2 linked regions of the Canis lupus familiaris genome follow. The protein of the gene in region 1 purifies or fractionates together with the protein of each later gene. This does not show direct contact. Links are inferred from orthologs where the notes say so. Each region holds a gene or a part of one and is shown on either strand. Other genes may lie near its edges.

Region 1 (3,818 bases):
TCTTTTTTTTTTTTTCCAAACTCTTGAGCATGTCAAATAAACTTGTGCCCTCAGTAGGAATTTAATCATGGACACAATCTTAAAAAGAAATGTTAATGTTATATATTTTAGTTTTCAACTGAAGAAATGATTTATATAAAAAATGACTTAAGAATTGGGTATCTACACATCATATATATTTTTTTATATCCATTTAGAGAAAAAGACCAAGAAGTCATAAGACTTGGTATAGCTCAATGAAATTAAACTCTAACTTGAAAAACAATTCTTTCTTTTTGGTAATATGTAGAATACAAACTACTCTTCTATATTAAACACAGAAAACCACTGTGAATTTAATAGTTTATTTAATAGTTCTATGTATTTAATAGTTCTATGTTTGAAGTTCACACTTTAAAAATGTGTGTCACCTGACTACATAACTGGAAAACATTTTAATTCAAATTAGTTAAAAAGACTGCATAATGTAGCAGCTCTGAATGTGCAAAAGGTATACTTCTGTGTAAACAGTCCCTCCATAAGCAGCCTACAACTTGTTGTAGTGAAGATATTCATACTCACTAAGGAGTCCTATTTTGTTCAAACAATGCACTACAACTAATACTAAAACAGATTTTAACTTTTCATTTAGTGGTTACCATTACCAGCACTTTCCAGCAAGGAAGTCACCTTGAAAATCAATGCAACATGCTGTTCAATGTTAGCCACTTAAATCAAGATCACATGACCTCCCTCTCCCTAGATGGCAACAATTTATTGAAAAGTAGCCAACATAGCTTTCTCCAGGGAAGCACTTTATGCCAGAAAACGGTCTTAGTCTCAACATAAGCTATATCAATTATGATTTTAATGAACAAATCAGATTAAAATGTTAACACAAATACCCTGAGATAGCATTAAAAGGACTTATCATTCAGGAAGTAGCTTTTTTTAACATATGCACTGCATTTATATTAAAATGTGACCTTTCTATAATACCTTCATGTATTTGATATATATCAATGGTGGTATTACCATCAAACATTGCATGAGAATTAAAGGATTTTTTTTTGACAAGGACAAATGGTTTTTATTAACAATGTTTTATCTTAGATGATCAAGGACTTCTTTCAGATTAAGACTTTCACTAGAACATATTACAAAGGTAATTTTCTTAAATTCCTCCAATATAAAACCAATCTCTGTATTATAATCTAAGAGTAGACACACAAAGGCAGCTATATGGAATGTCCCTCTCAAAAAGAACCCCTAAATCACCACTACTGCCTATGGCCAACAAGTAGGTTCACTAGTACCTTGGCCAAGGAGCTGTAAAATGATAGGTTCTGTAGTAAGTCCAAGACCAGGTGAACAGAGTTCCACTGTTTATCATTAACCACTGTTTATAGTGTATATTGAGAGGGACAAAAACATGAGGTAGACCTTCTGGGGCTGTAAAGGATCATCATTATTACCAAAGATAAACTCCCATTCTTATAATCCAAGATAGTTCATAGCTTCACACAGCATTTATTCAATTTCTCTCTAGTGAACAAAAGGTTAATAGAAATAGTTTTAATAAACTAAAGTTAAAACACGGAAATTATAGGTTATTAAATAATGAAGAGGAAACTATTTTGTAATTATAAACTCACATAGGAGTTAAACAAAGACAAACAAAAACATGAACAAATTGTGGTATTGTACCTTCTGAAGACATGCGTTTAGGCATAGTAGAGACAGGAGCTGGAGAACCATGAGCAGAGGGGTGAGACGGGGGTCTGGATGGCCGCGAGGGGGGCCTGGAGGGCGGCCGTGTAGGGGTGGCTGCCCGAGGTGGAAGAGAGTTGGGACCTGACTGGTAGCGAGAAGGTGGGCGAGAGGAAGGAGATGGGCAAGGCGATGGCCAGGGAACACCTGACAGAACAAATGATATGAAGGAAAGTATAAAAACTAAAGAAAAAAATGAGGGAAAAAAGTAAACAGAAAAAAAAGTAAAATGACAAAAATGATTTCTTGTACATTTTAACCCTTTGAGGACAGTCATTTGAATTGTGATAAGTTTTAGCATAACTTAACTCACATGAATTCACATTTTACTTTAACCTCCTTAAAATTAAGTCTGTTTAAATGAACACACGTTCCCAAAGGGTTAATTAGGATCTACACATACTATTGAAGAAGACAGTTAAGACTTTGCCTATTAATCCTGCTTCTATAACTGTTTCTCAATAATCAATTATTAAAAGGAATATAACATAAACTAGATAATTTCACACAATAAATCACAAAACTTAGAAATAAGACTACTTACTATATTAGTTTTAGCTTTTGAAACATGAAAATAAGCAGCAACTAGTATATCCCATTAAAAATGCTGGGTTTTTTTATAACCATCTGTGATTTTCATATAGTTTATACTTGAAGGTAAAATTCAGTTTGAAATCTCATTAAGCAAGTCCATTTAGTAGAAATAAAACATTACTTCTATTTTTTAGAGTCACAGGAGTGACAAAGGTTAATATTCATCACCTTTTCAAAAAACATTTTGATCTTATCAAATTAGAAAAGGGGGGGGGGCCTGCTAAGCAATTTATGCAGTTGAACACTTATTTAAGTGACTGCTTAATAAACAATGCAACTATAGAGCAGTCATCACCAAATAAATTGACAATAATGGATATGCAAAGATCAAGATACACTATGTGTAACATTACATAGCACTTACCTTATCTCAGGAAACAGTCCAGGTCTCCTCTCCATAGGGTTCCACACACTTGAGTATCATACATTTCCTAGCCCCCTTCAGCTTTTTACTTGAAAATTCTGTTCATGAACAACTAAAATTCTTTACTCAGTGAGCAAAGAAATTTCATCCCCAATACTAAGTACAGAAAATACTCAAGAGTGTTTATTTGGAGAGGAATTCTGGAGAAAGACTCAACAGAAATAACTGAAATTGGAAACTTAGTGTTCTCTACTTTTCTAACTTTCTGAACCTAAACGGCTTAAACTGAATGTTCACTTTGTCCCTTAGGTTAGTAAGATAGTATTGCTGTCCAGTATTCCTGACTCACATGAAGGATCCATGACCTATAAGCTATATTCAATCTTAGATTTAGAGGCAGAGCAGAAAAATATCTTCCTACTAAAGATGCAAATCTGTCACTGTACTTACGCTAAGCTTCAATATCCACCCTTTGACTAAGAGTTGTTTTTTTTTTTTAAACACATTTCTTGAACTTCATCTTCCTCACATGACTCTTGGTCATGTCTTGTATGTACATGTATTTGTATACCTCAAATCCTTTCTTGGAAGTAAGCAGAATATTAATGGGTCAACAGTTAATAAGAATTAATCTATATGAACCACTGTTTCACACAGACTAAGATTTTCCATATAAACTATGTCTAAGTAACTTTGTCATCCGGTGTTTTTAAAATTGAGAACCTACCCAAAGTTTCCAATTTCTTTAATATGTGGAGTGTTTTTCGGTCAAGTGAGTATCTGTTAAATTTAGCACTTTATCTTAATACATATTTCATCACAGTATCATATATGCCAATGACTTACACTAATTTTACTAATTTGATATCCACAAAGGCAAATTTTAAATAGTTTTGAAGTAAAAACTACTCCACAGAAAGCACTGAAAGTATGCATGCTCTTACCAATTATGTTAATCTTAAATATTCAGAAAACTATATATTTGATTGAGGACATTTAGAAATTTGGTTAAAATACTTGCCTCCATTAACTACTCTTTGGTCTGAACCAGAATTCGGGTTGAAATCTGAAGTGTGAGAGGTGGATCTTGATGGCATGGAGCCCGATCCAG
Region 2 (4,274 bases), on another chromosome or scaffold:
GAATTGCTTTATGTTCCTTGAAATCACCAAGCTCTTTCTCCTTATAGAGATCTTGCTTGTCTTTCAGGTCTCAGATTTTTTTCACTTCCTCCGGGAAGCTTTTCCTAACAGTACCGGGCAGTCATATATATGAAAAACTGTAATCACAATGCCATGTAGAAAGTGGAGCGGGAGTTACATGTGACTTGTGGGGGTCAGACTTGAAAGTTCCCTGGAAAAACACAACTAAGAGGGAGCAAGCAGTACTTTTATTCCTACTACAATGATTGTACTAATAAACACCCAACATTAGGAAGTTGATGTTTCTTGCAGGGTAAGGAAACGCTTTTGAACTGTGTTCAGGTTAGGTAGTGCCAAGGCTGGCCCTTTGCCTCCCTCTGGATTAGAGAAAGATCAACCTGTTGTTACTCATAAATGAGGCTCCAGAATTTCTATGGGGGATGAGAGCAGGTGGATTTCGTATATCAGATGGACACTAATGGGGGAGGGCCAAAACTGCCCCAAGGCCACCTTTGTCACTACCACTGCTCCACATTCCTGCCCTTTGCCTGGCTTTCTAGAGAGGACAAGATGGGAGGAGATGTGGAAGCATCTTGAGTTCCAAGGGTGATGAGCGATCATGGAGGAACTGCATTCATTTGTACACATTATCTCACTTAACCTCCTAATACTCTAGGAGGTATTATTTAATGCAGTAAATTGCACCGTCTTTGGAAACAGGTAGACCGAATTCTTTCCGGTTGTGCGACCTCAGCCAAGTTTAGTCTAAGACTTTTGTTTCTTCATCTGTAAACTGAAGATGTTGATTCTCACCTCAATAGATTGTTGGATGCTCAGTAAGTAATAATATAGAAAAAGTAATGATACAGGGTCAGGGTTAGTAATTTGCTCAAGGTTATAGAACTTAGTTAAGTGGCAGACCTGGGACTCCGATCCTAGTTTAGCTAATCCTATAGGCCATGTTCTTCCCACTAGTACTTTGTAACTGGGTATAATCGTTTTGGGCAAGTTTCCTTAAGACCTCTGGGCCTCAGATTACTCTATGTAAAATAGAGTTCATTCATTAAAGTCTTGTGTCAAGGTGTGCACATAATAGAGATTGCAGCTCCCTTCTCCTTCCTCTTTTCATGCCACGTAGGTCATTTATCTTTAACTTCTAAAATGGACTCTGCAAGCACTTTATAAGCGGGCGCAGTTGCACAAACACTTATTCAGATCCCCTTTATTTCCTCTTTTTTCCCTTTCCACCTAGGCTCCCGCCCCACCCAGAGCCAGGCCACGCCCTGGCGTGTGACGTCAGCACGCCTCGTGCGTCGCGTCGCGGCGCTCACTGGGGGCCCGGCTTTCGCCCGCTGCTGCCGCCGCCGCCGCCGGCCGCGGCTGCTCTCCCAAGATGGCGGCTCCTCCGGGCGAGTACTTCAGCGTTGGGAGCCAGGTGTCGTGCCGGACGTGCCAGGAGCAGCGGCTGCAGGGCGAGGTGGTAGCCTTCGACTACCAGTCCAAAATGCTGGCTTTAAGTATCCTTCGCTGCGCGGAGCCCGAGCCCGGGCCGGCGTGTATGTGTGGTGGTGGGGGGGTGGGGGACGACGGCGGCGGCTGGGGCCCTCTCCGGGCCTAGGGGCGACCGGCTACCGCGGCGCCCGGAGCGCATGCGCACGGCCCTGAGCTCCCCTCCCCCTCTTCGCGTGTCCCTCGGTCCGCTTTGGGGACCCTGTCTCCCATCCCTTGTGGGAGCTGGGCCCCGAGCGAGGGTCAGTGGGTGGAGGGGGGCTTGACACGCGGATGCCTTTTCGGGGGAAACGCTGTGAGAGGCGATACAGTGCTCCAGAGAGAGAGAGGGTGGTCGTGGGAGGGGGCTGGTGGATTGGAGCCCGGATGGAAGGGGGGCGGGTAGAATCATGTGGGGAGGGGGTGTGTAGAGTAAAGAGCTGCTAGTAGGGCTGGGGTATGGAGTTTAGGAGGGGGTGTCTGCTGGGAGGATTTGGTTCAAGGAACGGCGGTGGGGTGGTGACCAAATGGGCCTCGCCTGCTTTGGGGGGAGAGTAACTGCAGGACAGTTTGTATCTGAAATGGGGATAGGGGCTTATTTTGCTGGTGTGTGTGTGTGCGTGGTGCTGTTGGGGGCGGGGAGTACTGAATGAGGTTTCTCAGTCATTTGAAAATTGCTGTTTTGAGAATGTTTCCATTGGAAACCTGGTCCCAGAGAGAAGGCCACGGTTTTTAGGGGCTCGTGTAGGGTTGTGTGGGTTACAGGTGAAAGAGTAAGTTACGTTCCCTTGCTCAGCCCAGCACATGGAGTCCTGACTTTTCCATAGTAGTTGCCTCCCCTTTTGGAAGTGGTGGTGATTAACAGAATGGAAAAGAAGGCCTGCTTCTTTGGGGTGGAAATGATTTCTGAATTACTCCAGGAAACTCAGTCTTGGAAACAAAATAGTTCCTGGTTGTAATAAATGTACCACCCCTTCCCCTCTTTTTGAGCCACAGGTGGGTTTATTTTTTTGAGGAGTAATCCTTTATGGCATCTTTCAAAAGGAAGTTTTCTACTGAATGCTGCATTTGAGTGGCAAGTATTTTAATTTATTTAACCACTAGTTGTAGATATTTTTAGCTTAGGAAGATGTCCTCTACAGCAAGAACTGTTGCTTTTTTTGGGTAAAATGTAAAAACTCAGACCTGGACCAAATAAGACCTTTTACATTAGTGGGTTAGTTGGAAGGATTTTGGAATGAGGAATTACTTTATTTTTAATTGGCATATAATATACTCTTGATAAATAGTTGGAGGAGGGGTGAGTGAATGAATGAATGAATAAATACATATATAGATAAATGGGTTAAGTAGCTGGGTTCACCTTGAGTGAGCCTCCTTTCCAGTCCTATAGTTTTCTCCTCTGCGGAATGGGAAATCTGAAATCGAAAAAAGTGAAAAGAGCAGTATATAGATGAAAGTATTATACCAAGAACAGAGAGTAATGCCTCTTCTGTGTGGTTCCTTAGGTCCAAGACAAACTCTATATATGGCATTAACACTGCATTATGCTTCCATACAACCAGTAGAGAGGTGACGGAAACCCTTTCTGAGGCTTCCAATTTTGGATGGTATTTGGCTTTGAAAAGCTTGAGATCTTTTGGTTCTGGGGTTTTGAGCGGGTGGAAGGTGACAGGCAGAGATTTCCTGAGGAGAGCTAGGATTCTTGTAATGCTCCCCCTTCTTGCTCGTGGCACACCTGTTACACCAGCCTCATTTCAGTTGTTTTCCATGCCCCTTTTGGGATGCGTCAGTGCTGTTTGCCTCTATTTTCCTTAACTTTATTTTTTTCACCAGAATGTCCCTCTTCCAGTGGAAAGCCCAACCATGCAGATATCTTGCTCATAAACTTACAGTATGTTTCAGAAGTGGAAATAATTAATGACCGAACAGAAACCCCTCCTCCCCTAGCTTCACTCAATGTTAGTAAGGTAAGGACTTGCGGGCAGTTCTGGCTCCAAAATGGGAAACATTGAGACTCCTTGGCTCTTGGTGATACATACATTGTCTGTTGTTTTTCATTTTTTCCATTAACATAAAATTGTTTGTTCTGATACCTTTTTGAAAAACATACCGGTTTAGGTTTCTCCTTATTTCTGCGTACCTTCAGACTTAAGAAACCTTCTAATGCCCAAATAGAGAAATAAAATTGCAAACTTACTTTTGTCCTTAGTGAAAGAGGGCTGTTTTTTTTTGTTTTGTTTTCTAAAAACCTGGAGTCCGTGCGTGAACTTCTGGTATTAGTGGGGTTGGGTAGGGGTGATGTCTGTGAACCTCCTGAAATTGTGTGTATGTGTGCACACATGAATATATATGGTTTTGGTGAACATATGGAGTATTTTGCAGATCTGTGATTCATGACCTACAAAAATTTGAAAACTACTGCCTTAAAGCTTCATTTTTGTCTTTATGTTTGAATTTTGAGGTCTGACAGAATTAGATGTTTAGAGTAATCTTACATGTTGGTATCTTACATGTTGGTATCTTACATGTTAATCTTACACCCCCAAATCACTTTGGCTCATGAGTTCTATCAGGCAAAATTTCATGTATTATAAAAATAATACTACTCCATGTCCTGTCGTCTTTGCTGTCCTGTACTTTGAACACTCTTATTTCCAGAATGTATGGAGCCTCATCTTTCAGGACTTTGTTAATGGCACCTCTTCCAGGAAGTCTTCTCTGATCATCCAAGTAAAGTAATTTGCCCCCATTATTCTCTCATAGTACCTTATCCTTTAGAGCTA

What was found.
Region 2: the proteins of ATXN2 (region 1) and LSM12 purify together in Homo sapiens (affinity purification with mass spectrometry; 4 studies listed by BioGRID and IntAct, with this or other methods). This does not show direct contact. The link is inferred for Canis lupus familiaris from reciprocal best matches to the Homo sapiens genes ATXN2 and LSM12.

Annotation. Positions count from the first base shown.
Region 1 is NC_049247.1:9,346,799-9,350,616, forward strand, and holds part of ATXN2 (ataxin-2), read right to left. Parts: coding exon 3,729-3,818; intron 1,897-3,728; coding exon 1,687-1,896; intron 1-1,686. UniProt on the Homo sapiens protein: Involved in EGFR trafficking, acting as negative regulator of endocytic EGFR internalization at the plasma membrane.
Region 2 is NC_049230.1:19,181,595-19,185,868, forward strand, and holds the start of LSM12 (protein LSM12 homolog), read left to right. Parts: upstream 1-1,280; 5' UTR 1,281-1,393; coding exon 1,394-1,517; intron 1,518-3,324; coding exon 3,325-3,458; intron 3,459-4,274. UniProt on the Homo sapiens protein: Nicotinic acid adenine dinucleotide phosphate (NAADP) binding protein. Confers NAADP sensitivity to the two pore channel complex (TPCs) by acting as TPC accessory protein necessary for NAADP-evoked Ca(2+) release.